Drosophila melanogaster: one gene and its partner. The protein of the gene in region 2 purifies or fractionates together with the protein of the main gene of each other region. This does not show direct contact. Each region holds a gene or a part of one and is shown on either strand. Other genes may lie near its edges.

Evidence for each region.
Region 1: the proteins of CG15047 (region 2) and CG15710 purify together in Drosophila melanogaster (affinity purification with mass spectrometry, with the first as the bait; one large-scale study listed by BioGRID). This does not show direct contact.

The regions. Positions count from the first base shown.
Region 1 is NT_033778.4:16,344,232-16,360,681, forward strand, and holds CG15710 (uncharacterized protein), read right to left. Parts: upstream 4,297-16,450; 5' UTR 4,236-4,296; coding exon 3,438-4,235; 3' UTR 3,383-3,437; downstream 1-3,382. Other genes in the region: Nup62 (nucleoporin 62kD), read left to right, coding at 350-1,534; wcd (wicked), read right to left, coding at 1,644-3,164; CG30098 (uncharacterized protein), read right to left, coding at 10,007-10,398, 10,463-10,617, 10,675-10,720, 10,783-10,984; CG6262 (uncharacterized protein), read left to right, coding at 15,622-15,671, 15,740-15,923, 16,012-16,450.
Region 2 is NC_004354.4:18,519,426-18,536,212, reverse strand, and holds CG15047 (uncharacterized protein), read right to left. Parts: upstream 7,531-16,787; 5' UTR 7,502-7,530; coding exon 6,977-7,501; 3' UTR 6,620-6,976; downstream 1-6,619. Other genes in the region: CG15042 (uncharacterized protein), read left to right, coding at 7,959-9,269; CG6481 (uncharacterized protein), read left to right, coding at 13,875-14,873; HisRS (Histidyl-tRNA synthetase), read right to left, coding at 16,015-16,224, 16,278-16,787.

The DNA of each region.
Region 1 (16,450 bases), on a different chromosome or scaffold from region 2:
TTAAAAAAACGGACACAGACATAAATATATTTTAAAAGTGCAAAAAGTGATTGCAAACGTTAAAATAATATAAATGTTTTGGTTTTCAGCATGTTTTAGTAACAAAAATGTATCGTCGACTGAGCAAAGTACTTCATTTGTATTGCCAATTCAAAGAAATTTAAAATTTAATTTTGCCGCCCAATCTTCAAACTGCTAAGTGTTTTGGCTTGAAAATAGCTAGCTTGAGCTCAAATTTAGTTGATTTCCAACACCGACAACATTGCGGAACTCCAAGGAGGGGTCACACTGGTTGCTTTTGGCGTGTTTCGTTTGATTTAGATTTATATTATTCGTCTTAAGTTTAAGCATGGTATTCCAGTTGCCAACAACAACCGCCGCCCCGACCGGAGGCGCAACATCGTCGTTTTCCTTCGGCCTCAGCACAGGAACACCAGCCGCAGCACCAGCTTCAGGAGCAGCAACCACGGCTCCCGCCACAAAAACCACATTCTCTTTCGGAACACCGGCACCTACTGCTGGTATCGGTGGCGGAGATGCAGACAACAGCAAGGCGCAGGCTCCACCAGCCTTTGGATTTGGCCTGGGATCCGGGACTGCTTCAGCTCCCCTCACGCTGGGCACTCAAGCCGCCGCAAATCCAGCGTCCACCACTTCTGCGACCGCGACTGGAACCTCTGCTGCTCCTCCCGCCTTCGGAGGCTTTACGGCTCAACCAGCGGCATCTGTGGTGCCAACTATAGCAACCAGTGCACCCAACACCGCAGCTACCACAACTGGATTGCTGGGCGGGTCTGGATTGGGAGCTCCCAAGACCACGGCCGCTGCGTCCACAACTCTGACTGCAGCTCCGTCGGCCATAGCCTCCACGCAGGGAGCTGCACCGGCCCCAACTTTAAGTACTGGTGGTGCTTTTGCCAATCTCACTACCGAAACCAAGACCACAGACTCATCGGCCGTTTCCACGGCATCCCAATTGTCCTACCACCAACTTGAGGAGCATATCAACAAGTGGACTCTCGAGTTCGAGGAACAGGAAAAGGTATTCACCGAACAGGCCACTCAGATCAACGCATGGGACAAACTGCTCATCAGCAACAACGGGAAGATCGTCGAGCTCAACGATGCCGTGAAAAAAGTGAAAACCGATCAGCAAGTGCTGGACCAGGAGCTGGAGTTTATAGCCACGCAGCAAAAAGAGCTTGAGGACAGCCTGGGACCGCTTGAGAAGGAATTCGTTAATCTCCCGAGGGTGGACATGGAACGCAGCCAAACCTACCTGATGGTGGAGAATCTGGACACACAACTGAAGCAGATGTCCGAGGATCTAAAGGAGATAATAGACAACTTGAACGAGGCCAACAAGGGCCAGGACACCACTGATCCCATCATACAGATCGGAAAAATCCTTAATGCCCATATGAATTCGTTGCAGTGGATCGAATCGCAGTCGACGAACATCAGCAAGAAGCTGGAAGACATTGGCAAGATTCAAGACTCCCAGAAACGCGATATTTTCCGAGCTCCTTTCTAAAGATAAGTCCCCTTAATTTGTTAACTTAAATAAAGATGGTTCCATTGTAACCACAGAAAGAGTAATGATTTTATTTAAGAATTTATTGTAAACATCATACTGCCTTCAATTAATAACCCTTGAAGTACTTAAGCCTAAAGAGCGGCACCTGTTTGCCCTTAGTGGCAAAGGCCAGGAAGCTGCTGTGCGGCGAAAAGGCCATGGAGGTCACAAAGCCAACCTTCTCGTTCTGTGCCGGGAAATTGGAGTACACAGTGGCGCTGGGGAAATGGGCCAGCTTAAAAGCATTCGGCGCCTCACTGGAGCACATCGCCAGTAGCTCAGATGAGTGATTGAACTGGAGATCCGTGATGGCAGTCCGTAGGTTCATGAAGCGCTTCTCGGGTTGTGGGGCCTTGGATGCGAAAATGCTCTCGTAGTCGTAGATGTTGACCACGCCCTCTTGACTGCCGGTGGCCAGTAGGCGTTGGTTGGGAGACAGTTGAATGGACTCTCCATGTATACAGCCGTCGTCCATGAAGATGTGCTCGATGAGGTTCTGGCGCAGGTTCAGCACGCTGACATTGGAAGTGGAACCGCAGACGAGGATCCTCTTGGAGTCACTAGACCATGTGAATCCCTTCACTTTGCCCTCCTGCTTGAAGCTGTGCAGCAGCTCATTTGTTTTGGCCGTGAGCAGGTGAATGGCTCCAAACTTGCCAGCAGTGACGATAAATTTGCCACATGGAGACACCTCAAAGCGGTGCATAAATTCCATTGCGCCCGGCAGCTTTAGCTTCGATTCCTTGGCTTCCAGCAAGTCGTAGGAGTAGTAGAATGGTTTCACAGAACCAAAGAACGCCCTTGTGCCGCATGGAGCAATTCTGGAGCACGCCAGCGGGAACTTCTTGAAGCGCATGTTGTGCAACCTTTCGTTCTTTTGCCCATCCACGGCGTAGATGGTGGCTAGGCCATTCATGCCCGCCACTAGAGCAGCAGTACTGGTTGGATGAAACTGAATGCTGGTGGCATTACCCTCGGCATATGTGGCCCTGTTCAGGTCTTTGACCCGTTTAAAATTCAGAGTCTTCTGGGGCAGATCACTGTTCCGGGCTTTACGATCGATAAAGCCAACCGTCCGCAGCAGTTCTTCGTCGGAGGATACGTCCTCGTCGTCCTCATTTTTGACCTTCTTTTCCGCCCACTTGGGTTGGTTAAGCGTGCGCTGGAATCGCGCCGTAAGATACTCCTTGTACGATTTATCCTTGCGCAGGTGGTTCAGTGGACCCGTGTGCTTTGTGGCCTTCTTGACATCGCCCACCTGCAGGTCCTCGTCATCGGAATCCGACCAGGCGGCTTTCCGCTTGTCGCCTGGCTTTGCCTGGCCGGGATTTTCCTCCTGCTCGTCTTCGTCATCGTTCGGCAACTTTTGTCCCACGGACTTGGCTAGATTGGTGAGCAGTCGCTGCCTGTCGCCGAAGAGCACCTTTTCCATGGGCACCTCCACATAGTTGAGCTCCTTGGCCTGCGAGGCCTTTGGAATATAACGTTCCCTTTTGATCTTTGCCGGTTTCTCTTGCTCCTGCTGGCCGTAGAGGGCCTTCAGACTCTGCAGCTCCTCCAAACCGTCGCTGGACTCGTCTGAACTCATCGTGTTCGCTGGAAATGCACGCAAATTCGTTTATTTACGAACTTTTCTTTGGACCGCAAAAAAATATACACGTGCAGCTGGGCGGGAAATCGACTAACGCTTTAAATCAAAAATACCACGCCACGGTGGATTTATCGATAAGTGTGACCACATCGATAGCAGATCGAAATAGATATCGGTGGGATGGGCGCCATAATTTGAAAATTATAAAAAATATTACAATTAAAAAATATATTTATTTAATTTAAAATTAAAATGTGCGAATTTGTATAATCAATTATTAAAACTTTGCACAACTTCTGTAAATGTTACCTCGCTGACCTCGGTGATTTCAATCTCACGCTTTCTTTTGCATTTATCCGGCATCTGGCAAGTTTTCAGATGACGGTGAAGGAAACCCTCATATTTGTACTTTTTCCCACAACGATCACAGATTAATTCGGGCCTTCTCTTCCCTAAGATCTTTTTCTCCTCCTCCTGGGCCTTCAGCCTTACGATACATGCGTCGCACGCGTATCGACGGGTCACTTGGCCAGGCTTAAAGCAGGCCTTGAACTCCGTGCGACAAAAGACGCAATTGAAGGTCTTGGTGATGGTGTACGCCCCTTCGTAGGATTCATCCGTGGACTCGCACGGTATCAGATGGCTCTCCAAATGGGTGCGATACTCCAGATCCGTCCCGAACTTGACATGGCAGGATGCACAGGTGCGATTCATTGATGGGCTTCCATGCAGGAGCCTGTGGCCGATCAGGGCATCCACCGAGGAGAAGATTTTCTTGCAAATGTTGCACTGATGCTGGGACACGTCCGGCACATCCTTCATCATGCGTGCCAAGCGTCTTTGGCAGGCCATCAGATGGACCTTGTAGGCACCGGCCGTGCGAATCACATTAGAGCAAAGCGGACAGTGGAAGCGTTGCGTGTTGTCCTCCAGGAAAACTTTCTCCTCTTTTATCGGCTGCAAACAGGGCGCCACGTACACCTTGGTAACAATACCATTATCCTCCTGAATCGACAGTAGAGTAGCTGGTTCCAGCTCCTCGGAAATCCAGTTGCCAGCACTTGTCATAATCCTTTGTGGGCTCTTGTGTTTCGCCAGTAAGAAGCGTACGAAGAAAGTGAGAAAGTCGCCGGTCATTGTCATTGAAAGATAGAAAGTAATACTCGATACTCGATACTCGGAAACTGTCAGGGCTGGAAAAGAAAGAAAGCGTATACGCGATAGGTATGCCTCAAAAATGTAAACTTTTTAAATTTGTCCAGGCAATGAAATTCGAATCCAACGCTTTCCTCCAAAAAAAAATTAAACGTTTTATTCGGATTACCATAAATGAGGTGGTAATATATTTAGCCATCATTTAGTTTAACCAATTAAGCAAACAATCTTCATGCATTTTTACTGTCTAAAGCAGAAGTATACATACTATATATATTCGGTTTAATTTCGTTTTTAAATGAAGTAGGTCAGCTTCACAGTTTCGAACGCAGCAAATAAATTATGTTTTATGAACCATATTAAAGGCTTCTCCATGATTTCGTCTGTGTTAGGAATTATTTTTAAAATATCATCTTAGAGACTTAAATATAAATTTAATTTAAATTAATTTCTAAGGAAGATAGCTATAGTTCAATGGCAAGCCTGGGCAGAATAAGATCTATACTCGTAAAACTGATTGTTTAGTTTGGTCTTTGAACTGTAAAATGCAGGAACATGTCTTTCGAGTGCCTCTAATCCCCGCCCAACTTCTGGCATTGTGGTAAGCTCCGGATCCCTGCTTTATGACACGCGTAATGCGAGTCAAAATATGCAATTAAACAAAAACTTCTTGACTGGAAAAATATTTGCATAACTTGGGCAAACAAATGTCGGAGCACGTCGTCCTCGTCACCAGTCGACAATGTCGAGTTGTTGTTGAACTTGTCATTACACACGCACAACCAGGAGAGCACCAGTCTCATCCACCCACTAACCACCCAACCACCCACTAATTTACCCATCCACTGGGGGTGGTGCTCTCGCCAAAGTGTGGATTAATAGCTGGGGTGGTGCTGCTGCTGCCAGAAATCAGCGCTCGTAAAATTTACGTAAAATTCATTAAGCGCAACAAAAGACGCTGACTGCGTGGAGCAAAAGGGGGCAGGGGCAGGTTGGAAGGGAAAGGGGGGGTGGCGCCTGCAATCGCTTAGAGACAAAGCCCTGCATAGTTGATAAGACGCGTCCTTCGCGGGGGGAGGACGTTGCTTGTAGGAGCAGTGGGTGTTTAGTTGGGTGCCTGGGTGGGTGACGGCTTGGCATTTGTGGTGCCCTCGAGTGTCTCCTGCCAAGTCAGGCGTCAAGCCGCACGGAGAGCAACCAATTTTTGTCATTTCAAAGGGTCCAGCATTATTGTTGCGCCATCCAGGCGGCGATACACTAGCAAATAATTTTCTATAAATATTAAACATACTTATCATTAATTTTAAGCAGCGCGAAGTTGGGTTGTTGGTATTTCCTCAAAAGATTGTGAATTATTTAAAAAGCATACACTATTCTTGAATGTATTATATGCTTTTTAAACCATTTAGGCTATTCTTTTTAGTTATTTTGAAGTAAGCTATCTGAAATATGAATATTTTTCATTTCAGAATCTGTTGATTTCAGATTAACAGAATATGGGATTCTTTTATATCTTTCTACTAATCCTTTACGCAGAAGCTTTTTTAATCGTTTGCCTTAAGTAATAATAGCTAATCAAGTTCCAAGGATTGAAGTTTGTCTAAGAATCGCTGCATTTTCTGGGAGTGTTCCCCGCCCATTTTCCGCCCACTTCCAATATCCTTGAGTTCCTGTGCAGCGAGGCGCTGCGATTCAGCGCTCCTTAAGTGGCCTGACATTGTGGCAGATCCTTTGCAGTCGCACTCCCAACTCCCCGCCATGCCAGTATCCCCCATTCCGCGCCCTGCATCTCGCATCCTGCGCTGCAACTCCTGCCGACTGACAGATTAGCGTGTTGACATTAAGTTTGTCCTTTGGCAGTGTAGGCTAACATATGGCCTTTAGTTGGCTTTAAGTATCGGGCGCATTTAGCTCCAGCTCCAGCTGCACATGCAAATGCTGATAGAGCCACGCATTACAGCATGTTGCGGTCGCTCCTTGTGGGCGTGGCGCCTGGCCACCTGCCCCTGTGCTCCATCGCTCCACCTATGTGCTATCTTTCGAATCACGGATGATGGCTCCTGTGGCATGTAATGAGTTTTCCATTGCCCCGCACACGGTGCATCAGGTTACCCGTACCTACATCACCGCTGATTTGTGCGGTTGATAATTGGGCGCGCGGTAATGTTGGTAATTAACGTCTTTCTGTCCACCGATATCGGCATATTGACGGCCATTGTCAAGGGCGCGTTTTATTTGCAGGACAAAATCCTGTCCAACGCAACGTTCGTCGTTCAAACGGAATTAAGCCAAAGGGAAAATCTGGCGACAAAAAGCGTAAAACTTTGTTGGCGATACATTAGCGAACAATGCATATTGACATTGTATTGACAGTGCGCGACATGGCAATAGCACTTAAACACCATGCCATTTCGAATCGCTTTAATTGGTTAAATAAATGTATGACTGTCGTGTGCTATAGAACTTTTTTGACATTTCTATATCAATGAAGCTGGAAATCTTTATCTTTAAATTATTTTAAAAAGCCAGGAATAAATAATCAGCCTTATAAATTATTCTAAGCGTTTGACTTTAAAAGGTAGTATCTCTTCTAATAAAATCTCCTATGTAGGATAAGTTTTAGTAACTTTTTCAACGCAAACTCGCGTCTGGTTGAAATGGAAATTTCGGTGAAAAACTATTGAAAGCTAGCCGAAAATGGTCAGGAAAATAAAAGGCTTGTGGCCAACGCTTTCATGTCGACCATAAAAATAGCAGACGCATAAAAAATTAATAAGCGATGGTCAGTCGACGAGGACGACGCATTGCCGTTGTTCTTGTCCCTGGCTTCAAAAAAAAAAAACCCCTTGTATCCTGCAAACGCCCCTCAATCCTTGCCCCCTTTACTCCCCCGCCACCCCTTCACTATATTGTCCAGTGTGGCAGACATCATTAATGCATAATTCAAGCGTTTGGCAGTTTTGTGCTCGATGCTTTCAATATTCAATTTGAATGCCGCCCAAAGCGATTCGAAGCGGTTTTGTGTCTGCAGCATTGTTGTCCTTTTGGCGTTGTTGTTGTTGTTGTTGTTTTTATCTGCCCCATTTTGTTTTCGTCTTCGCTTTCATGCTCGCTTATTTACTTGACCGCCCCCCCATTTTCCACGCCCGCTTTTCCGCTTTTCCATCAGCGTATACTACCTGCTGCATTATTCAGACGCCTCGACTCGGAATCGAACAAAATGCATGGTAAACAATTTCCATTGCAAAGGGGGCGGGGTTCGAAGGGGGGCGGAGACAATGGCCGCTTAGTCTCGTCATCTTGCTGTTGTTTTTCCGAACGGCTTTTCCCCACTTTCCCGCCCCCACCAATCGTAGGTCTTACAGCAACTGGCAAGCAATTGGAATTGGAATTTATTTAGCTCAAAAACAAAGGAAAATAATAAGTGCCTTACAATTCACTAATTGCCACCTTTATTTTGTAATTTCAAGTAGTATTCATAAAAATACAAAGCATATTGGGAAAGAAATATATTGAAAATACAAATATAATTTTTTCAAGTGGTATTATTTATGAATGTGCCATATTTATTCAATTTTTATATATAAAGCATTGAACTTCATTTGAACTTGTTCAAGGACTAAAAACCAGGAAAACCACATTCACGCCTTGAGTGCTATTTACTTGGCCGCTGCTGTGTGTCCTGCATGCGTTAGTTGTTTATTAAATATAAATGATTGTCACTTGCGGCATGTTGCCGCCGTGTCCCTTTTGAAGTAAAGCGAAATGTTGATGGCGATGATTGCTCGAATTTCATTTGCCAGGGAAACATGGCTGCAGGACATCGGAGTCCTTATTGCGATTCCTTGCTTGAACTGCAATTGCTGGCGATTTTAACCCACCCCCACCACACACACACACACAAACACACACACGCACACATGCGATCCCATGTGAGGCACTTTTCTTTTAGGCGGGCGCCGCTTTGACAAGTCATGCAATTGATATGGATACTGGCCATTTGCTCGTCATAAATGTGAATTGTCACGACGGCATCCCGTCATCGGAGTGGAGTTCCACAACTCCGCAGATCCACCGCTGTGCAATCATCGTCAATCGTCCGATATTGACCACAAAATGCCATTAAAAAATAATTACGCATTTTAATTGGCATTTAGTTGGAGCAAAAAATTAAGTGCGTTCAACATAAAATGTGATTACACCCGTTGCACATAGAACAGAAAAAAAGAGAAGGAAAAACCAATCGAGGGGATCAGCGAGGTGAGCAATTAACTTTCAATCGGATTGATATTGTCTGATGTTATGGAGTGCTTCAAAATCCTAAGAGATATCAAAGGGTTATGTATATACCACTGAAAATTAATTATTCATTTTAGGCCAACTTTGTAATTTAACAAAAAACACAAGAAAATCATAGTTAACAGATGTATTAGTGAACTTAGGAAGATTTTTCATATCATGATTAAAACTTCTAGTTTGCATAAAATGCTACAATATTACTGAAAAGTTAATGTTTAATGGAGATTAAAACCGAAGTGGTTTCATTTGCTAAACGTCAAGGTTTTTCATCTCGTTTTTGCTTAAAAAGGGTATTCTGCAAACATTTTTTTCTTCGCTGATTACATTAACGCTTTTTTCCGAGGCTGGATGAAAATAATTTGAGCCTGCATGTGTCACCTGATGCATATCGAAGTACCTGATTGCAGTTGGCACTTAAAAATCAATTAACAGCGGCTGCGGCACAAATAATTCCAAATGGCCGAGCTTCCAAATGGACAGCTTTTCAATTGCGTTAGTGCAAAAAGACTGGTAATCGTACATTTATACCGGAAAAACTTTGCATACCTTGTATCATCATATATACATACATATATATTTATGCGGCCACCTCAAATGGTGTGGCAACATGGCAACGTGGCAGGATCCGCCAGGATATTCCAACCTTTCCAACAATTGCGTGCTCAAACCACCGAACCACAAATACTCCAGCACTCCACCACTCCGCCCGGAGAACAACACTAATTGCGGTATTAAAATAAACTACAATTGCAAATGGCGCATTTTATTTGAGGGGTGGAAGAGGATAGGAGGCGAAGGTCCTTGCTGGCCACAGTCGGTGGTTATTATTTGCTGCAGTGGCTGCATTTGCATTGTTGCCATTTCCGCTGGCTGGCTGGCGCATTTTTCTATGTAATTGTGGTTCCGTAATGTGTGACAATTAAATCCAGTTCGTGGAAATCTTTTGGGCAAAAAGCAACCGAACGTGTGCCGCAAAGATTCCAGCGAAGATGGCCAACAGAAAAAATCAGCGCCACCATGAAAAGTGACTCTCTGCTCGTAGGCCTTTCGTATGCCATAATCATATTTAAGGGTTTCCTGGAACATTCGTGCGACTGCAACCTCAATTGCAATTGCAATTGCTGTTGAACAGTTGGTTAGCTGTGGACTCGTCCGCCACTTTTCCGCCATCTGCCAACGTCCAATGTCCAATGTCCAACGTCCATTGCTACCATCGTTTCTCTGTTTGGTTGAAAACCACAAATTAAGCAGAGAAATCCTTGCCGTGCATGCGAACGATGGCGCCCGGGGAAAATTCCAATAAAATCAGTAAAATGTCCTATAGACTGCGCACTACCCACTAAAAATAGAAATGAACACACACTCAACTTTCAGTTAAGATCTATTTAGACCCAGTTTCTTAACAAGGTTTGGTAAAGCCAGGGCATATAGCTCATGAGATCCAAATATGAGCTGTAGCCATCACAATTGCCCGTCACGGAGTTGGTTACTCCAAACTGAACATATATGGTTTTATGTCCGTATTTCACAAGTGACCCCAATGGACCGCCTGAATCTCCAAAGCAGGCGTACTGCACGGGATTCCAGCAACATATGGAAAGACTCGGAACACCGCAATACTCATTTCTAACACGGCGCAGGGACATTTCCTGCAGTGTAGTTGGCATCTTGTAATAGTGGGCCATCTGACCCCAGCCAGTTAAAGTAAAATTCTGTATGCTGTTTGCAAGGGACTGCAAGCCGGAATTTAAAAGAATGCAAATTGGTCGTATATAAGCTGTAAATTAAGTATAGATTGAGTATAGATATGGGTTAATATGTATAGAAATGCACTGAGTTACCATCGTAGACGACTTGGCGATCCAGTTTGAGCACAGCAATATCATGGTTTCGAAAATCTATATAGTTTTTATGACGATATATTGAAACAACTCTGTAGCTTCTAGTCTGTCCATCCGTTGTCCTCGACGAATCGTATTCACCCAATCTAACAAATCTGCAATAAAACAATAAAAGTAAACAGAAAGTCAGGGCAAGAATGTTAAGAACTTGCAAGTTGTCGTTGATTTTCGTACAATGGGCAGCGGTTAGAACAAAGCCTGAAATAAATAAAAACGTTATAAACTATAATACTTAATTAGTTGCAGTTGCAAGTACGAACGGTAGGCAATCAGTGAGCCGCCACATGCGAATCTGTTATCTCGTATCAAGTAAGCCATCCATGGAGTCCTTCGAGCATTCTGACCACCAATTACTCTTATTCGAAACAATGCAATGCATTTTGAATCCAATAGCTGCGAATATCCATAAGATCCCAGGGTTAGGATTACTAAAAAAGTCAGCAGAACGATTGCAGGCGTCATCTCAATTGAAACAGCGGAGCAAAACTGAATTCCCTTTGTAAGATTTATTACAACGAAAAGTCAGAAGCTCAAAAAGTGCAGTAAAAGCGATTATGCAGAAAAATTTACATACAGAAGAACAGAAATATCACGATTTTCTAAGAACTTTTATTTACAAACAGTACGTTGATAAGGGAGGCCTTGTTTTTAAATTGAAACAAAAGTTGATTAAAGTGAATAATATATTTAATTAAAGTACAGTAAATATGAGCTCTATTGCTTTCTAATAATAACCCAATGAGTAACAAAATGTTATCAGATGATTGATAAGTTTTCTATTTACTTTTTAAATTTCAGCATTTATAAAAAGGGCATGCCCTACAGCTTATAAATGCATGGGTATTAAAAAAATACAAACGCAGGCGAGCGCCCACAAACATGCAACATCCCGACCGCAATGTATTACGAGGGGCGTGGCAGGTCTGGGCAGCCAGATAAATGCCCGTTGCTGCTGCTGCTGCTGTTGCTTTTGCTGTTGTTGCTGTTGTTCCTGCCATTGTCGTTGCCATGTTGCCACGTTGCATGCAAACAAGTGCAGCAAATACACACACACGTACATGCAGCGGCAACACAAAGACACGGACGCTGACACGCTGGTGCCCGCACGTCAGCGCTCGTGCGTTTATTTGCCGTTTCCGCTTCCGTCTGTCGTCGTGGCCGTCATCGCCGCTGCTTCAGAATCCTCTACTGGCCCCCAAAGAGCACCCCGCCCCATTCCATTGCGGTCAATTGCAGAGCTCAGATTGCGCGTTAATAAGTTGCTGTTGTACTGCTGTTGCAACTGCTGCTCCTGCTGCTGTTGTCACTGCCGCAAGGACTTTGCATGTAATGCACTTGGAAGTATCACGGTTTCCGTAATTTCCATAGGTCCCATTCAGCCATTTCCAGAATGGCAGCATAGTCAACTAGTCAACGCAGCCCCTATCGCCATCTGCAACATGTTGCTGCTACAGAGTGGCAACTGCAACAGCAACAGCATAAGTCGATAGCATCGGCAAAGAAGCAACACAAAGTTGTTGTCCCCGTTCGCCGGGCAACAGAGTCTCGTGTCTGGTGACTCCTCTCGACTCGACTTGAAGTTTTTATGTGCCCGTCCAGAAACTAATAACCGTAATGCTTAACGTTTATTGAAAAAAGGTGGCCAGGTGGGGTGTGACACTCGAACTTGGCCAGAACCATGCTTCACTGCGCATACCATATAGTATATATATGCCACCGGCAGCAGTCGAACAGTTCATAAATATTTCCAACAGCTCCACGGATGCAACTTTTTGGCGTCGCATTTAATGAAGCAGCCACTAGCTTGACCAATTCCCTGTCCTTATGGCCAAGGAAATCAAGAGTTTTCCCAAGCAAAAGTTTACCTCCGACAGTCTGGCACTTTTCCTTTCGCCGCTGGAGAATAGAGGTTTCTAAGTTGTCTACAAAGAAAAATACGCGCGTGGTGTTTATAAATAGGATTAAGCTTAAAAAGACTTGAAGTAAATAGAATTTGTAGTTATATTGTTACATTTTGAAAAAAAAAATTTTATGTGAAAATTTCAAAATTTGTTTTCTATCTTTTAATATCCTTATCCAAATGTTTCTTCGATAATTTTCCGCGCAGTGCAGTGAAGAGATGTTTGTGGTCATCTACAAATGCCGGCCATATATTATGCATGGGCTAAAAAGAAAAATGATCAACAAATTATTGACATCGGAGCTGCCCCGAAACTCCTCCAGTCCCTCCCACAATTTTCCCACTCCCCGCAACCGAAGGGGAAGTTGCGTTTTCCGGGGCAAAACTTTGGCAAAGTGAAAAACTTGCTGTCAGCATTAGATAAGCGCCACAAGTTAATAGACTTGTAAAACACACACACTTCTCTTCAGTGTTGACCCCTCGAAAAAAAAAAAAAACGTTGGTTACAGCGGCGGGGTGGCATTCATACCGAAAGAGGAATTTTATTTATTTGTTTGTCGTTGGCATGTGGCGCGTGTTCCGTTCGGTTTTGGTTCCACCCCCCGACCCAGTAAATAAAAAATAGTGATATAAATAAAAATGTTATATACGCCCACTCCGGCGAATGGGGGGCGGGGCAGTCGGCAGTCGACTGGCGGCTTATCAGCCAACTAACAATTTAGGTTGTCAACTCGAAGGGCAGCCGGAGATGTCTATCGTGGGTGGTGTGGTGCAAAACTTTCCTGTTTAACTAGACTCTTGCTTAATTTGAGCGTCTGCGGCTTGCCCCGTAGTCCCTAGCCCCTTTTGTTTGATCTCTGACCGGGTCAAAGTTTAGCTCATCAACAAATGATCCATGGTTGTTGCTGGCTGCGGGATGAGCGGAGTGATTGACAGCCCACTTCCGTTTCCTTCGGCGGCGGGCGAATGCGAGTGTGTATGCGCCTGCTTATCAACTGTAGTAACTTTCCAAGTCGATTTCAATTAATCAATTGTCAAAATACTTGACAGCTGAATTTATAACTTATTTGGGTGGCAGCAGTCCCAAAGTGGAAGCGAAGCAGGAGACAGCAGGATGTTGCTGCGGCTGCTGCTTGTGTGTTGCACAGTGTAAGCTGCAAACACTAGAGCTGACAAAGCAAAGGCAACACAGGTCCAAATCGCCATGACAAGTGTAAAAATGCAATCACAGAGGCGTGGCATCTTCATGGAGTCGCTATATGCGTGGTTCGTGGCAGCGAACGAATGTTGCCACCGATGTTGCTGCCCCAGCTAACGTTGACATTGCCATGTCATCACTCTCGCTCAGACAGTCAGTCAAGTTGGAGGCACTTCGCCGGGCGCCCCTATCCGCATTCTGGCTCACCCCGGGGGCTTATGCTCCTGTTATTTACAATAGCGCATTTTTACACATATTTTTTCAAAGTCAACAACATGATTTTCGCAGTCTACGCTGCGCGACGTGTGCATAAAACCCAAACACAGCAGCAGAGCAACAGGGAAACAACATTTACATTTTAAGTAGTTTTTAAATCGCTGCAGACAAACGTCAGCGTGTTGACAATTTATCATGCTCCTGCTCCTGCTCCTTCGAAGTTGGAAGTGGGGGGCGCTGGGTGGTCAGTGGGTGGTTGCTGGTTGTGTGGTGCTGGGACGTGATACATCCGGCGCCACCCGTCGCGCTAAGGCCAGTGAAATTTTTGATTGATTGCTGTCAGATGGCGGAGTGTTTAAGCACAGACTGCAACTGTATTTGCCAGCCGGAAGTAAAGTAAACTCGGAAAACTACACCAACTGCTCTTTGCGAATTTTCCTTTTAATTAATTTAAGGCCGAATGCAACTTATTGATTTATGTGCGTGCCTGCAAATGAGGCTGAAAGGCGCCAGCGGCGGCTGTGTCCACTTAAGGGAAGAATACTCAATTAGCTGCGAATGCGGATGACGATGATGATAAGCGTGCAGCTACACTGAGCGAAAAAGAAGATGCTCATTATAGGCAATTGAATATCAGTAGCTTGTGTTCTTGAAGAGAATGGATTGCATTTGGGAGCTTCTTATAACCTCTCCTCTGCTTAAGTATTGTTAAAATATTACTTGGAATTAATCGTGCTGTTAGGTTTATTAACTTTTTTATCGGTGCACTGGCTCCATGACTCCTCACTGGCGGCACCTCGTTAAGTTGATCACATTCCCGAGGGGTCAAGGGGTAGCGACAAGTGTCAGGACTTCCATCCATGCCCATCCTCTTTGGCTGCACTTTCACATATGCAAAATTAATTACTTGGTTGATGATCGCTTCTCGTACACGGCGAAAAGTTCAAGTTGCTGCATTTTTATGCCGGACGAAAATTCAATTGAAACTTTGCAGACGACAGAGAATGCGATTGCGACAAGGCTAATTTCCGTACTCCTTCGAATTCTCGTACTTGAAGAAGTTTCCACACAGATGCCGATGCCAAAAACTTGCATTAAAGTGGATCGGTCGAAGAAATTTATGAAGTATCCGTCCCGCGGCTGATTGTCCACTATCCCATTTTCCACCATCCCAATTTGATTGTACACGAATCGAAGAATTTTTACTTTATTTGAACTCGCCGCCACCCCCGGCTTTCCATTCCATCTATCCATCCAGTCGATGGTCATGGCCATGGCCACTTGAAGCGCATTTTCTGCGCCATTTCCATTCCGACTTCTGGCCTTCGGCACTTGGCATCCCCTTGCTTTTGCTGTTCCTTTGCTGCTTTCACTGCTTTTGCTGGTTTGATAAATTGTCTGGAAATTACAAATGGACACAGGGGCCAATAGCTTTTAGGCAAAGTTCGCCACGCTGCTCTTGTTTTGGTTTCGTTTTCGGTCAGGGGCATTTATGGTAATTTAAAATAAATGTGTGGCCCTGGAAGGAGTGCTGAGGATTCGCAGGCGCTTCCTGTCTATTTACGCTGATTTATGGCCGAGCATTGTTGACTCTTAATGGCAAATGTCGACAAATTTGCTTTAATGGTCAATATAACAGAGGCTGCTGCTGCTCGGTTTTTTGATTTATGCCCCAAAAAACCCAGTCGCCTGGGATTCACATCTAGGCTGAAACCCGAATTTGGACCGGTTATCAGTCACTCAGCCTGAACTTCGCTATACAAAAAAGGCAACAACTCGTTGAAGATGGCGAATAAGTGCCGCTGCGGTGCAGAGGTCCTGGGCGGAGAAAACAGGTGAGTCGTGGAAGAAAGGTCCTCGAACTTGAAGTTCCGACTGATTGGTTATATTCCGCCTGAGATAGAGGTGTTTTCTGCGAGGGTCCCTTGCTGGATGCTGTCCAGAGATCGAAAATGTTTCCCGACTGCAAACACTTTGTGGACATGAGCTGCATTTTTACACCTGCCCAAACTTTGGCCGACTTCGATATGTTCACCAATTGCCGCAGAAACGATGGATCTCTAAGGTTCCTGCAAATGTTTGTCGAGGTAAAATGTGAAAAAAAAACTCTAAGAAAAACCCAAAGAAATTTCACTATAAAGTAGGTATAATTTTAGAAATATTTTCTTACTGCAGAAGCACTTCAATGATCCTGGCTCGGAGCTGGAACACTGGACACCGCCGGATTGGAAAGCACAGCCTTCGTTTCTTGCCAGGATCTCTGACCCGGAAATAAAGCAGTTCGGTTCGGATGTCAATGGACTTTGGAAGGAGTTGGGGCGGCGGATTAAGGATGAAGTCAAGGAGAACCCCGATCAGTATTCCATTATCTACGTACCGAATCCTTTCATTGTTCCCTCCTCAAATTGCCGCGAGTACCGCTACTGGGAATCGTTTTGGATCATTCGCGGCTTGCTGCAATGTGGCATGCATCAAACAGCCCGGGGCATGATCGATAACTATTTGGAATTGGTTCAGCAGTACGGCTTTGTGCCTGGTTGTGGCCGGATATACTGCTCGGGTCGATCGAACCCTCCACTCTTGATCATGATGGTAAAGGCATATGTGGAGGTGA
Region 2 (16,787 bases):
CCTTTAAAAAGGTACAACTTAACAGAACTTCGACTTTTAGAATGAGTTCAGCGTAAATGACTAGTTTTTACGGTTAACAAAACGTTTTTGATTTATAGCGAATTTGAGTTAGGTAATTTTCTGGTCATGAAAGTTTAACTGCCTATTACTATTATTGCTATGTTTTATAGAATTCAATGCAAGAATGCTTATTTTAAGTTTCACTTAAGACTTTGACACTAATTAAAATGTTAAATTCAATAAAGCTAGTTATTTTAGTTATAGATTACGTAAATATCACTTCAGTTACAGTGGTAAGTCTGCATTTCTGTGCAATATTATTATATTTATGTCTGCTTCCTTTTGAAATTTAACAGTTAAGGCATAAAAGTTGTTTCCAACCCCTGGAATTTATTCTGTGTTCTTCTAAAAAATGAGCTTATTTTAGCATCTTTTTCTGCGCGTTTGTTGGTTTTTCTGATTATTTTCCCAACTTCTCCAGCTTCCTTTGCGATATGTGTTTGTACATATGTGTATGTGTGTGTGTGTGTGTGTGTACATGCAGGGTTCTTGCTGATCGCTGCAAGTAGTTGTTGTTTTTGCTGGGTAATCCGAGACGGAGGCAATTAGCAAGTCGGCGAGTAGAGAGTGGAGAGTGGAGAGTGGAGAACGGAGAGCCTCTTCTGTTCGTTTCAGTTCGTTTTGGTTCTTAATTAGAACAAATGGCAAAAATAAACAAGCAGACGTGTTGGGCGGAAAACTAACGTAAACTAATTAAAAGGATCGCCGGCGAGAAAGTTTCAACTTACATATGCAGAAATTGAGTTGTTGTTCCTGCTGTTTGTTGTTGTGGTATTTGTTGTTCTCAGGAAGCACAAGGCTCTTACTGTTGCTGTTGTAATTGCGTATGTTGTGTATTTATTTATTTATTTATTTAGCTTTTGCGGTCGGTTCGGTTCGGTCCGGTCCGGTCGTTATTATTCAATTGTTGTTGCTGCACAGAGAGAGAGGAATGCGTTTTTGCTTATTGTTTATGTTATTCAATTTTAGCGCTAATTGAATGCGAAATCTCGCCACACGCGTGTCAGAAGGAGATGGAGAGTGTGGGGGAGGGCAAGACAGAGACCGTGAGATCAGGCTACTGGTATTTACGTTTACCGCTATTCGTTATTTGTTATTTGTTATTCCTGATTTTGTGTGTGGGTGCAAGATCACCGAGAGCGATAGAAAAGAGAGGGAGAGATTGATAAACACCTGCCACACACACGTACGCACACGAACACGCACCACACACACGCACGCACACTCGACTCAATTAGTTAGCTCATAAATTTGCATATTTCGCACTTGTTTAGCTGTTGCTGCTGCCGTTGCTGTTGTTGCTGCTGTTGTTTCTCTTCTACCTTTTTGTGGCATGTACACAGGAAAAAAAATGAACAGTGTTCCGTGACTTTGTTATGATTTCGCTAACTTTTGCGTTTCGCTACGTCGTCGTCGTCTTGTTCTTCTTCTTCTGTTTATCGCACGCGCGCACTCACAACCGCCAGCGCCGAAGTTGAATTTTCGAATGTCGTTAATTTTCGAATGCCGCATGAATGAAGTCGAAGTCGACGTCGACAGCACGAGCTCTCTCTCGCCTGGCTTTTCCTTCTATCCGAATGAAACCGGCTTTTTATTTTGAAACGCGAGGGTTGTTTCCGCTCTCTCTCTCTCGCACTCGCTCTCGCTCTCCGGCGTTGGGGCTGCTTTTTGGGGCCCTGCGCTGCTATTGGACGCCGCTCCTGGCCGCCGACCGCCTATCACACAGGTGCGGCCGAGGGTTGCTCTGTTAAGGCACTGTTATTAGCATGCGGCCCACCTGCGTAGGCGCACCTGTGCCCCTTTGTAGGTGGAGCTTCGCTGCCGCAAGCCGGATAGTTTCCTCTTCCTTCTTGTGACATTCAGCCATTTCGGCCCCATTCTGGCGATTTGTACATTATATCACCCACCAGCCAGCGATGCAACCCTTTTGTACCGTTACTAATTCCCACACCGAAAAAAATATACTGAGCTATAGGTGGAAAATAGTGTTTTGTAGACAAGTTCTGATAGGATAGCGAAACAAAATCCTAAACCATAAAGACTTTAGGTTAAATTACTTATCCATCTTTGAAATGAATCAAATGAATGAATGACAATGATACCTTCTAAAAAATGTATAAATTGATATCATCAATTGCAAAATACTCCCTGACACACAAAGGAAATAGTTGGAGGTGATGAAAACTAGAATTTGGAAGTCAGCACAATTGAACATCGTTTTATTAAATCATCTTCTGGATGTCAAGCTGTTTTCTTTTTTTTTTTGTTTTTTTTTTGCCGTGCAGGAAGAATAATAACCGCACAATGAATTAACTGCATAAATGATCCGCCAAACTACCCCATCTCTCGGGGAGAAACAGGAGCGTCTCTACTGGTGGCACCACTCTGAACTCCACGGGCGGCCGCGTTACGATGGACAGGGGTGCCGGGGTGCAGGCATTATTCATACATAAAAAGCCAATTAAAAATTTATAATAAACCCCGCGCCAAACTGCTGCAACAACCCCAAAAGAAGCAGGCCGAAAATAAAAAGAATTAAATATGGCACAGGCAGGCACAGTGGGACAAATCGGAAGGCATAGATATGAGTGGGGTGATCTATTAGATATTTCACATATTTAATTTGTTCAGATAAAAAAAGGGGTTTATATAATACCAGCAATGCTTTTTCAACGTATTACACCTTTAAAACTCACATTAACTCCTTTTTTTTAACTTAAAAAGTATTCTCTAAATATTGAAATACTTTCTTTTAAGCGATGTTTCAATCTTCTCAATGAAAGTGCCATGAGGTGAGATGCCCACTGTGCGGCCCCACTGTGCGGCCCACTGTGCCTAGTTTCCAGCATGTGGAAACGATGACCAGTGGGGATGGGGGTCATTTCAATTCAATGAATGGAATTGGGGGAGTGGCACACGCACCTAGCGCCAAATTAGATGTAAAATAATGAACATTTCAATTAAAATAATTAATATTATGCTGCAGCCGCAGTGGGCGGAGCGGGGTGGCAAGGACGCACTAAGCACTCAATTAACCATTTTAATGTTTATGGATCAGGTTAGCCTGAAGGATGCTCTCTTGGCAAGGGAGATGCTGCTGGAGATGTTGTGCTGTGCTTTTTAATTATAATTAAACATGCGAGCAATCGAGTGGTGAGGGGGGCGGGGGCAGTGGGTGGTGGATGGCGAGTGGGTGGTGGTTGAATGGGCAGCTTCCAGCTCGAATGGCTTCGCTCTTTCTGCCTAGGACATAATCACTTAGCCGCGTGCAGAGCCGCATTTAAAATTAATTCTGCTCAAGTGCGTTTCTTGGCAAGAGACACACACACACACACACACACACACAGAGAGACAAATACAACAAAAAAAGCACGTGGCACACGTGAGAGAGGTGGCGGGTGGGTTTTGCAGGACGGCAGTGAGCTGCCCCCATTTACCGTTGGTTCACATTCGCAAGCGAAACAAATTGCACGCTAATTGCTCATGTTCAATTAAAAGCAACGGCCCAAGCAAACTCCAAACGAAACCCGACTTCAGTCCCACCCCAAAAATTTCACCTAAGCTCTGCTCCCAGAGCCAGTGATGTGCACCGCCCGAAAGTGGCTGAAAAAGGTTAATAAACATTGGTAATGTTTTATATCACAAACCTTTAAACGTCATTTGATCATTAGTCATGCTAATTATAGAAGATTCTTTGTGGAAAGCACAATAGTTCGGGGTCACCAAGGCAGTAGCTTGGTTAAATAATTTTGTTTTTTCAACAGCGCACTCTTTTAAAACGTATAGTTTTCCATCAAAATCTAATAAAAGATAAATCCTATTTTTAGAAATATTGAAATCGGGATAGCAGAACACAACAATGTGTCAGTGTTCGGGATCACCAAAACCGAACTCGAGTATTTCATCTATTTTTAGTTTCTGTGTTATCTGGTTTCCTATATAGAGAAAGTTGATTTTACCCATCAAGAAGTTAAATAACGATCTATAGAACTCTGCTATAAACCAAGATCCCAAGTTAAAAAGGCTAACCAAGCACCTGGTCAACTCAGCTGGCGCTGCTCATCCTTGTTGGCCTCGGAATTTGGAACACACGAGTTTCGTGCCCATGGACCCATTGAACGCTTTCCCACAAGCATTCGAATGATGGCCAGGGGGGGGTGAGTGGCTGGGTGGTGGAATGGATGCAGTGAACGGATGGTGAATGGGTGGCAGGGCAGGGCTTTTTGTTTTGGTTTTGATCCTTTGCGCAAATAATTGCCTAATTGTCTCTGGTTCGCTCGCTCGCCATTGTTGGCCCATGGAAATGCGAGTGGGTAGAGGGGGGGGGGGGGGTGGAAACGGCAACGCATATTTCTTACGCAAATCCATTTCCATCTATTAATTGGCAGCCCTCGGCAGCTGCTCCTTCAGCCGCAGGACTATCATCGGTCCTTTTTTACACAATTAAGCGCTTGGGCAAATAAAAAGTGAGCCAACCGGGCTGGCACTTCAATTTGAACTGCGGTTCGGTTTGCATACATACGGGCATCTATTGTATGTACATACATACACATGCATATACATATGTATATGTATATCTATCTCTATATCTGTATCTATAACCGTGTCCATATATCCTGTGGCAGGACTCTCGGTTGCGGTTATCGATTGCCGCAAAGTAGGCTTCTTCCCCCCAGGCCTTCTTCGTTTGTCATCGTCATTTGCGGGCTCATTTGCATTGGAAATTGCCTTAACAATCCGTTTAAATATGATCGACTTATAAACGAGGTCTTGCCTCGTTGCTACCAGTTTTTGCCATCTTTTATGTATTGTCGTATGTGGCCAATTACCGGATCGAAACCCATCCCTTCGCTGCCTTTTGGCACATTTCGCACGCTTCTTGGGTTCGCGGCAAATTGTTATTGCAATTATTATTGCTCGCTTGTTGTCAACATATTGATAATGCCCCGCCCCTTCATACCCGACCCGCCTCCCGAACTGTACATATATGCAAACGAAGTTAACAAGCGGCAAAGGTAATGGTCGACGGACAACCAGGCCTGATTGCATGCCATTGTCAGCGACGTCATCGGCGGTATCGAATTACGGATTTCTCCACATCTAATTTACGGGCCGTGACAATTGCCTTTTAAAGTCCAGCGAACCCGAACCGAACCGAACTCGAAACGCACGGGTAGCAAAAACCCCGATCGAATCGGTTCTTATCGAAGGTGCTGAAATACTCGTAGGGTTCGGAAAACGTTACCTTATCGGGTTCACGCTGTGAAAGGTCAATGGTCAATGTACATGTATGTATATGCCTGAGAATTTGAGTTACAATGGATCAAATGAGAGATCCTATGTGAAAGACTTGCCTTGCGATGTTCTAAGCTTGGGAAAACCATCTCTTAAAGGCATCAAAATGATTGCACTACCAGAGTATCCACGTAGTGACGAAGAGCACCAGCAGAGTTCTATTTTTGATATCCCAAAGGCAGCTTGAGTGCTTCTTATGTGTCCAGATAAATAGCTATAAGAATAGTTACTTAACTAAGCATTATTCTGACTGGCATAATTCATCATTCATTCATTCGTCGTTAATATAAAAGAAAAAAAAAAACAAAATAGAGCACGCAGAACACAGATTTCTTTTCAATATATTGCCATACTTTTTCGCTGTGCAATCTGCAATCTGACTTAACCCGCGCAATCTTAACCCCAGACAGCCCAAAAAGAGCGGCGACAGTTGGCTGCCCTTGATAAATGAGACGGCGCCGCTTACGCCTCGAGTTCCGATTGTGGAGCAGCAGTCACCGGAGCGGAGCACCGGAGTATATTCAGGAATTGGACGACGGACGACGGACGACGGACGTCCAGGGGTTGACGCCTTCTGTAGTTTGCGGTGCGCCGCAACGCCGATCAAACGCGATAAACGCTGGGTGGGTTACGTGGCTGCGGCTGACAGTGTCAACGGTTGCAAGTCAAAATTAATTAGAATTTTTCAACTGCGAAATACCCCCCTCTACCCCTTGCCCAAGGCAATCCAAGGGATGCACTATATGTACTCCAATCTACGCCAAAGAACTGGTGAGCAAAGGCGGTAAATTGAAATCAGTACAAAACGCTGGAGTAGAAAAAATAAAAGAGCGATCATTAATCATCGGGCCGAAAAGGGTTGACAAGCTGCGCATTGCTATTGCCACAGGGTTGCTGTTGCTGTTGCTTTCAGTTCCGGCTTCTTCCGCTCCTTGACCGGAGTCATATCCGCCAAAACAACAACAAAGTGCTCGGGGGAAAATTGGCCTGGGTGGCCCTAATGCATTTAATGTCTCCCGATGGCTGGGGTTGAACCCAAACATTTTAGGGACCAGCACATCAGGTAACATCCTCGTCCTCGAACTGCCCTGATTCCCCATATACTGCTCTTAATTGACAATAATAATGTTACAAAAATAATGGTACTTATTTCTAACTGTTAGGTTCTTTAAAAAATTCTATAGTTTGCCTATTTATTATGGAAAAAATTAGATTAGGAGTTCCAAAAAGAAGTTTTCCAAAAGTAACAACGACGATTCATCTTCACTAACAGCTTAGCAATATATTTAATGCAAATATTCACGAAATTCCACAATTGAAAATAAACTAAAATATAAGTATACTTTTAAATTGATGACACTTTTTAGATATGAAAACAAAATTAACAAAATTAACATGGAAATCTTCGTTAGACTTCATGGTGGATTAATATCAACATTAATTACTCTGATATACACTTACTATAAAGTTAAGGGCATTTTTTAAACATAATAGCAAACTAAAAACGTAACTATGAAGAACTTGTTTTAACTTAACAGTAGACTTGAAAACTAAACTTCTCATATATCTATACCTTAACTTATAAGATGTAAGCAGTACTAACTAGTATCTGGTTTCCCTTTCAGTTGCTAGGCGAAGAGTCATCGGCAGATGAGGATGACTGCTCCTGGCTGGTTTCAAGCTCCTGCTCCTCCGGCTGCTCGTTCTCGGACTCATCCACTTCCTCGGACAGTAGCAGTTCCATGGCCTGCACACTGCTGCCGTTCACCAACTCGGCGAGCGTCTGTGCGATCCTCTGATCGCGCATCATCTCGATGATGGCTTCATCCGTGGCAAGTGGATTCCCCATGAGGGAGCTGCGCAGTTGCCTTAATCGCTTGCGATTGCCACGCCTTTTGCGCGTCTCGCCGTCATCCATTCCCTCCACCAAGATCTGCACCGCCCGCTGCACGTTGTTGTTACTCTGGGCCAGCGCCAAGCGAGCCTCGCCCTCCGGATAGCCCATGTCCATGACCACCTTCACCATGAGCTCCGTTTCGTTGGCATCGGCTGCCACGGCCACCGAAGCGGCTGCTTGAGGAGATCCTGCTCCTGCTGCAGCCGTTTCTGGCGGAGATTTCAGATGCAATTGCTCAACTTGCGACATTTCCGCAGCTCAACTTTGGCGTCACTATCGATATCTAGCCAAAATCAGCTGATCCCCTCTTTAACCCCTCTCATTTGGTTTCGAACCCAGAAAGCTAATTTAACTGTTGTGTGGCCGAATTTTAGGTAAATCCTTAAGTACGGTCCTACTTTTCAGTACAGTGCGGAACAAGGACACATGCTGATTGCTAATAAAAGTAAAGCTTACTAAACTGACACTTATTTGTAGTGCCATTGCATAATCAGCAACATGAATCATTTACGTACAATTAAGTATATGGTGAAATCTAACAATTTTTATTCACTTCACAAAATAAAGTACATTTAGTTCCAAACAAGAATTTTGATATTATTTGAGATATTTTGATAAGAAGTGCTACCCTGATACTGTCTTCCATTTTGACAAGGCAATATGTAGTTTAAATTATTCCCTGAAATTATAAGCACATCTGTATAAAATGGAAGGAGGCACTTTCAATCTGATGAAAACAGAATCCATTCCCAGCTGCCTGCTTCAGCCCATCCGGGCGGTCCCCAAGTGCGTCAACTCAAAGGAGATCCTAAGCAGTTTGGCGCGGAATCCGCGAAAGAGCCGCCTATATCCTCCCCATGGCGGTCACATGCGGTCCGTTGTGGGAACCTTCTACAAGATCACGGACCAAATCGGTGAAATTGCGATAGGCACCAAGTTAACCGGCACCGTGCTGCTCGAGAGCCTGCCGGTCTTCTACGTGACCATCAATGGACCGGGCTCCAAGCTTTTGAAATGTCTAGCCATGGGGCAGGTGCAACTGCAGGAACTGGAGCAGCTGCCCGACTATGGCGAAATCTTTGCATTCTACGACAAGGCCGAGAATCGCATCTCTCGCATCGCCATTAATGCCCCCGTTCACCCCATGGGCTACTGTGCCTATATGATCGACGCTGCCAAATATACCAACATGTCCGGCATGGAGCGCATCTTCGCGCTGCCGGATGATCTCAAGAAGCTGCCGGCGCTAACGATCAAATGCCGCCTGGTCAATGTGGCCCAGATGCATATATTTATTACCCAAAATGTTAGACTGCGCGTCCTCGGCAGTAATGGCCTTGAACTGTTGGTGGCCCTGATCAGGAATAGGACCAACATTCGGAAGATTCCATCCGCACAACTACCACCAATTTCGGGCGATGAGTACGGAAATATGGATGCAAACGATCGGGAAGTGGCCAAATCTTTTGCACGATATAGACCCAAGCGTCGCGAACGTGGTAGCATTGTACGCGTCCATGTCACCAGGATCGTTAGCCATGCCGAATTCTACGCCCGATTCGCTGATGGACCAACAGTGCCCACGTGGAGCAAGAGTGTTATGAAAAGGGGCACAGGTGATTTTCGCGTCTGGGACATCGTTCTGGCCCCATATCAGGGGCGATATCATCGCGCCAAAATCGTTGACATATTTCGCTGCCGTTACCGTGTCTACTTTCTGGACTTCGGCATCACCGAGTATACAAGCAAGAAAAATCTAACATTTTGCTATGAGCTGGAGAAAGCCCAGCACAATCTGGCCTTTAGATTTGAAATATTGGGAACACGCCGTCAGTGTCCCATACCTTACATAAACATCCTAGAGGGCATAAAGCATCTGGAGCACACAGTACTACGAAGCGATATCAATGTTCGCATCCATAACATTTTGAAAGACGGTGGATATGTGATTCGTTTAATGAAACATATTCACGAGTGCCATATGATTCACTTGTTTGACGATTATTATTCGAATTGATGTATTTGAAAACAATAAGAATGTATTTCATAAGACATTCCATTTGAAATGCATTAAAGACGAACATTTCTGAGAAACAGCCAAATGTATTTCATAGTTATATTATACTATTCGATCGCCAGCTGATTTTGACCATGTCGATGGAACATGGAACTGGGCCGAGTGTGTGTGTATCCCTGCGGTACAAATTCCGAGCAAAAGGCAATAAGCCAAAAACACAATTACAAGAGCATAAACAGAAGATTTCGGTTCGGGTCCCACATCTGCCGCCTCCTGCCAACTTGGACTTCTATTTATGCGTTGCACAATTTTAAATAATCACCCCGTTGGGAAATTCGGGGCGAAATACCCTTTCGTGACGCCCCCTTTTCCATGGACTTTCTGTTACTTGTGTGTGTTATTTACCCTGATTTATTGCCATTTTCTTTCGGTCGCTGTTGCGCCTTTTTGGTCACTCTTTTTGTTTAAAGATGGGGGCGCTGCTTCCAAAAAGGGGTAGCGTTGGGCGGTCAGGAACAAGTGGCCCGTAAAAAACATTGCCAAACCCTCATCTATCACAATTTTCTTACATTTTTGGGTTTAAAAACGCATTATTTGGCTCTTTTGGTAATTGAAGTTTTTAGTTTTCATTAGCCGCTCTCCGGACAGGGGCCACAAAAATAGGAAAAACAATGGGAAAATCCGGGGTGGTGGCGACATGGGATGACATTTTCCAGAGTCGAGATAAATAGCACCTTTAAATTAACCCATTAACGAGTGGGACACAAATAGCGATATGGATGAGCAGGGTTTTTCAACAAGAAACTGTGAGTATTATAATGAATTTTTTAATTTTTATAGATATATAATAATATATTTTAGCAGGTAATACTTGGAATTAGAGTTCCTAGTTTGATTATTATGGCCATAAATTGGATGGATTCTGGAGCATGCTTAAATGTTTAAAATAATATAAGTTCAATTCTACCAGCAACTTTAAAACATTCCCATGTTAATAGTATTTTCACACACTAATATCCTTGATACTGTGAAGAATACTTAGGGGTTAGAAGGGAAATCACAAGTTTTTAAGTTCCTCAAGCATTTCCAATCCCTCGCTGCCACAATTTACTGTAAGTCGATACATTTGTGCCACTGCCACTTCATCCGTTTTTAAACCGGAAATAAAAAGTTTCATCCGCAGTGAAAGGCGCTTGAAATATGTGTGAAACGTGTGTGCCAAGTACTCAGTACTCAGTACTCAGACCAGTTACCCAGCACCCAGTATTTGGAACTGCGAACTCTGTTCAGTGCCCAAGGAATCCGATACTTATCGGGTGTCGACGTCGCCATCGAATTTGGATTGTTCGGTTCGATCCTACAACAAATGGCGAATCACTTAACACACCGTTAACACCCACATTAGTTGTACTCCGGCGCACGTGAGGATGGGGGCAGGGGCAATCGCCTGGCTGCGTTCCACTTACAGTCGGAGTTTCAATTACTTTTCGACGAGCCACCACCGAAATGATTATATGCCAAGGAAGCCGGCGTCTCATAATCGAATTAAATGCATTGCCATTGCCATTGCCACAGTTGGTCGGGGTTGGCATAACCCGGCCGGAGTCGAAAAAGTCATTAAAAACGCAGGCCAAACGATTGCACGCAAATTTGCTGGTCCCGCTCGCTGTCTTTGTTCCTGGTTCGAGTCCACCGCCCCCCCGCCCAACCAGCAGTTGCTAGTGGTTCAGCACAGCAGCGGGCAGCAGACGAGCAGCCGATCAATTTAGTAGTTTAATTGGCTTGTCATAAAATCGTTAGGAAGGTAACTGATTCATTTATGAATATGCATTTCATATTATTTGACTAGATTTTAAGAATCTCGACTTAGGGAGCTTTAAGATAAAGTTAAATTTTAAAAAATTTTGCTTGATGTTGAAACTTATTCAAGGTAATATTAAGTTTCTAATATTATATTGAGAAGATTGAGAGTCACCGCACTAAATACCATTTAAGTGTAAAGTTTCCGACGTACTTAAGGTATAGTACTTATTTCGATGCTAGTTTTATGCCCGCCATCGTACTCATCACCCGTTTGTTGGCACACATGAGCTGGCCGAACTATGAATGGAATTGGCAATGGAATCGCACGTGGCGATTCTCTGGTCACCCGCGATAAGCAACTGCCGTCGCGTGGCTCCGTTGCCCGGATTCTGCCCCCGACCCACCCGGATCGCTCCGGAGCAGAGATACTATCGATGAATGGACGGATGAATGAGGTGAGCGAGTGAGTGAGTGAGTGAGTGCGCGTCGTGTATTTATGACTCTGAATCCGATTCCGATGCCGAGCCAGATTCATTTCCATCGGGCGATAATCGTTATTAATATTATTAGTGTTTGTTCGCAGGACATACATACATAGATATATGTATGTATGACAAGCAAGACACCCTGTAGTGCCAATCCTTTGGATTGTGATTGGTCCTGGGAACTGCCAAAATAAAAGGTGACCAATGAATTCTTTAGAAAGTCTATCCACTAACGCCTGTTTCATTTTTTTTTATGAGCTTGATTTGGAAAACTAAAGCTCAGATGGATTGTATCTATCTGCAAGGAAACTGAGGAAGGAACTCCCCCAGGGATCTCAGGATATAAAAGACATAAGCCTTAACTCGAATCTAAGCTGAATTTATTGGTTCATTCTGGCATTAATACATTAATATTTGACCTTAAACTGACCGAGGGAAATAAGTATGCATGTGTATGTATGTACATATGTACTCCCACATGCATTGGAAATTACCCGCTAAGCATAAATATTCATACGAGTTAACTTCGTGATCGGCTGGACTGGAAAATGGCAGTCGAGCTTAGCAAATCACAAATTTATGACCCAATCCATCAATGACAATGCGACGGCGACGGGCGACTTTAAAAGGGACCTTCCCTCGCACCACCGAACCCAATTATACCGCACCACACCACACCACACCAAACCAAACCACCGCACCACTCTAATCGCTTCCCACGATCGCCGCGGTGCAGCTAGCATTTCCATATGTAAAGTTGCGCCTTCATTAATCCGTAAATTAGAAGCATTGAATGATATCAGTCGCCCTCTGAAGTGCACCCTCTTCCCAGTTCCACTCGGAATTCCCGTTGCCCAATGCCCAATGCCAATCCCAATCCCAGTCCCCTAAAACAAATCACTGCACACGGGGTTCGAGCCGAGCTACCAAGGGCAGCTACCTCGAAATCCTAGCCCAACACAGTCCACTGCAATCCCACCACCGTGCTGAACAGTGGGACAATATGTATTTGCTATAGATAAATAGCTATAGATATAGATAAAGTGTGTCAGTTGTGCGGGTATTATTCGAAAAATAAAAATTCATTTAATATCAACAGGGTGTTAGAGCATTTAATTTATTTTATTAATAAAAATATTTATAGCTGTAATAAATATAATAAACATTACATATGATATATGCAAAAATATATATTCAAATATATAATTATAAGTAATAAGCACTGAAATAAACACAAAATTTTATATATCAATATATGTACGCGTATAAACCTTCTAAAAATATTTGGTAAATATAATAATAAATTGAGCAAAAAAAGAAATGTGCATGTGTGTTGAATTTAGTTAAATATTTTTACGTTTTTTATAAACAAAATTTAAATTAAAATTAAATGTGGGAGGGCATGGTCATCGGGCGATAATGGAGCCATTCGAGCACACTGTGCGACCCCTGGCAACCTTCAACTTCATCGCAGTGACATGTCAACGGCAGCAGCAGAGACACCGACAACAGCAAAAACAACAACAAAGGCCGTGGAGAGCAACAACAAATTGTTGGACAATCGTTGAAATGAAATGAAATGAAATTTCATATTAAAACAGTATTAGCTGGCGGAGATCTCTGTGGCGGCGCCTGTCAGAATCAGTGCGCGCCGCTACATTGCGTTGGGTCATTTGAATGAGGAGCGGCGATTCCACCCCACTTTCCACTTCCGCCCTCCGCAGAAATGAACCCGCAACGCCGCCGAATCCCCCCCTGAAACAGCCACCCCTGGCACCTTGCCATCAAATTGGACGCACTGAAGCATGAGAAATGCGGGGACAGCCTCAATCAGGACTCAGTTCGAGTGTAAAAACGAGGCGATGAGCAGCCGCGAACCGCTTGACATTTCTCTGCTGTGCATAATTAAATTAAGAGATGCCAAATGCGGTACACAGTGCGAAAATGTGAATGCTTATGGTAGAAGAAAATACCAAGTGGATATACGGTTATTGGTATTCTTGCACTCTGAAATGTTATGATGCAATGATTATTGTTATTTTGTTATTTTGTTATATATATAAATAACAATTTCTTTTTAACATGCAAAAATTGTAATTTTTGTGTTTCAAAATCATTTTCCATGGCCTTCTTTGCGCTCAGTGTAAATTATGGGATCATGCTGCTGGGACATTCCTGCCAAACTGTTTCACTTTCAGTTAAAGCCTTATGCTTACCTTTCACAACTTCGTACACAGAACAAACGAGTAACATTTAACATTTTAACAAACATTAAAAAAAAAAAAACCAAATTTCTTCGAATCGCCTTGAACACAAGATGACCAAGTACTTCAACACGCACATCCTACAATCGCTGGTGGGCCAGCTGTCCGCCGAGCATCGGGATCGTTATCTGAACCGGAGCACGGCGGGCCGCTACGTTCTGTATGCCTCCTCCGATCCTTGCAAGGAACTTCATCCCCGGACCGTGAAGAGGAGTTTACGGAATCTGTTTGCAACGAATGCGACGCCGCATGAATGCGTCGTGAGAATCCGTGAGGAAAAGTTCTTGTATCCGAAGCTGGATTGCCTCAAGATGACGGCGAAGCCGTTGGGCTTGAAGAGTGCTATCGAAAATATGTTGAAATCGGAGGAAAGATTCCTCAGGATGGGCACAAATTCCGAATCCTCAACGAGTATCATCAATCTGGATGAACGGGCAAGGGGCGGCCTCAACGCCTCCTATGATCCCAATATGTTAATTGGGGAGAGTAGTAGTAACATAAAAGTTCTCCATCATAACCCCACTTTCTTTAGCCATTCCTGCACCTTCGGGACAGAAAATCGTCTCAGAAGTTGCATGGATTCTCTCCATGCACAGATACTTAAGAAGTTTGAGGAGAAGCAAGTGGATGTTGATGAGCCAAGCTCCGCGATGAACCAGATGTCGATGCAGGAGGCGAGTTCCGAGGTTAGCTCAGAGGAGAACGATATTCCGGAACAGCTGATCCATCTGATCAATTCCTTGAATAATCGATGGAATGAGATCCGCCGACATGAGGAACCGAGCGAAATCTACGTTAACGTTTTTGAATTATTATGGAATGCCTTGAGCTACTGCATGCAAATCGTTCGTCGATTCTTTTTCAACAGGAGGGAGGAGCCAGGACAAGGGTCAATTCGATCCTATATGGACCGGGCACACTATGCTTCCTTTATTCTGGGACCAGCCACTGATGAGTGCATAGCGATCCTAGCGGATCGCATCGTTACCATAATCAAGTGGGCAATGAATAAGGAGCTGCAACCTTCTGAGATTGCAGACGAGCCGCAGTAGATGCTATTTTCGCGGTGGCTGTGCGGCAGTGGAATTTCCCCTCCCCAAAACCTGCGAGCCGAAGACGGAAACGGAGCAGCAGCTGGGGAATGCATCAAACATTTACTGCCCCTCCACCAGTCGCTCTTTAAAACGTTTGAGTACCTCCGGGATATCGTGTTGCTCTCGACTCTCTGTACCCGATAACCCCGAGAAGGAGCCATCAGTGTTAATTCGATGTGCGTTCAATCCTTGTAGCCAAAATTTTAAGTAAAGGAATATAATATAGCTTCTGGGTTTTTTAATCGACGACTGACTAACCTTGAAACCCACTGGTTCCATGGCGGGCGTGACGAGGGCGGCGGGATTAAGCTCGATGTTGATGTTGTTGGGCTCCATGATGAGCCCCAGGCTCTGAAGATTGCACACCTCCGGCAGCTGTAGGGTGGGCGTGGGCACCTTGAGCACCGCCACGGTGCAGTCGATGCTCGACGCCGTCACCGTCGCAGTGGCGGGCAGCGTCTCCGGCATGCTGGCCACCGCTTCAGACGGCACCGACCTCTGCTCCTCGGCGCTGCTCCTCCGCCTCCCGATCCCTATGCTGACACCGATCTTGACTGGGTTGGTGCTCCGCGTCGCAAATCTGCAAGATAGTTGACATTCATTAGATTTTAAGACTTGTAGACTGCATTTCACTTTCATTCGGAACGGAATGCTAATTGGATCAAAACTTATTACGCAAAAGCCTAAAAGTATAGAAAAAAAAAGTGGCATGTGTTGGTGGGTATTATGGGATTATGGAGCATACTTTCAGGCAACGAAACAATGCCCACATATCAAACTTGCATGATAAAGTCGTGCACATATTGAACAAATATTGAACCGAAACCCGAGAAAAACAATTGGTTCCGGCTTAAATGCGAGTCGCTTCTGCGTTTATTTGTTTCTTTTTAGTGTTCATTTTGGTATAAGTTGTCCGCACTTATTCCTATGGTTACACTGTAGACCTAAGCATAGTAGCACGCGGCGCCTCCGGCCAGGACACCAAGAATACAAAACGTACAAATAGGAAAAAAAAATTCATATACTTCGATGCTGGATGGTTCATAAATTAGGAGCGGGAGCGTTTAAGTGTCGCTAATATCAGTGTCGTGAAAAGAGCCTAGGCGGAGGCTTGCTGCCGTCGCCGGATCTCGGCGGCCAGATCCTCAAGCTTTACGTTGGTCTCCTCGCGCGTGGTCACCTCACGCAGTTTGACCAATCCCTGCGCCAGCTCTGCGTCGCCGAGGACAACCACCAGAGGAATCTGGTGCTCCTCGCAGTGCTGCAGCTGTACTAACAGCTTAGGGTTCAGCTTGTAAGAGTGCTCCGCCTGCGAGGATTTTAAGATTATTATGCAGTCTCCTGGATTCAACTCAAACATACCTTCACGCCCGCATCCCACAGCAGGTTCAGAACCTTCAGACGCTGCTCGTGGAGACCCTTGTGGGCGGAGGCCACGTAAACCTCCACGTCGCTGGTTCGCAACTTCAGACCGCTTGCAGCCGCCCGCGCCTCCAGAACCGAGAAAATGCGCTCCACGCCAATAGACACGCCCACGCAGGGCACAGCCTTGCCGCGCGGATCGAACATGCCCACCAGGTTGTCGTAGCGACCGCCTCCAGCCACGGATCCCACGGTGGCCGGCTCGTTCGCCTGCTCTCCGTTCTGCTGTGATGTCTTCGCCGGAGATGCCACGGTGGCGGACTCTCCCTTGAGCACACCTTCGTAGATAACACCGGTGTAGTAGTCCAGGCCACGGGCCAGACTCAAATCGAAGCTAACTCGCTTATCCAGACCGAATATGGAACAGTACTTAAGGAGCTGCTTCATGCCCTCCAGACCCTTTACGGCATTTGGCACAGCCTTGAGCTTCTCGTTGGCCAGCAGTTGTTC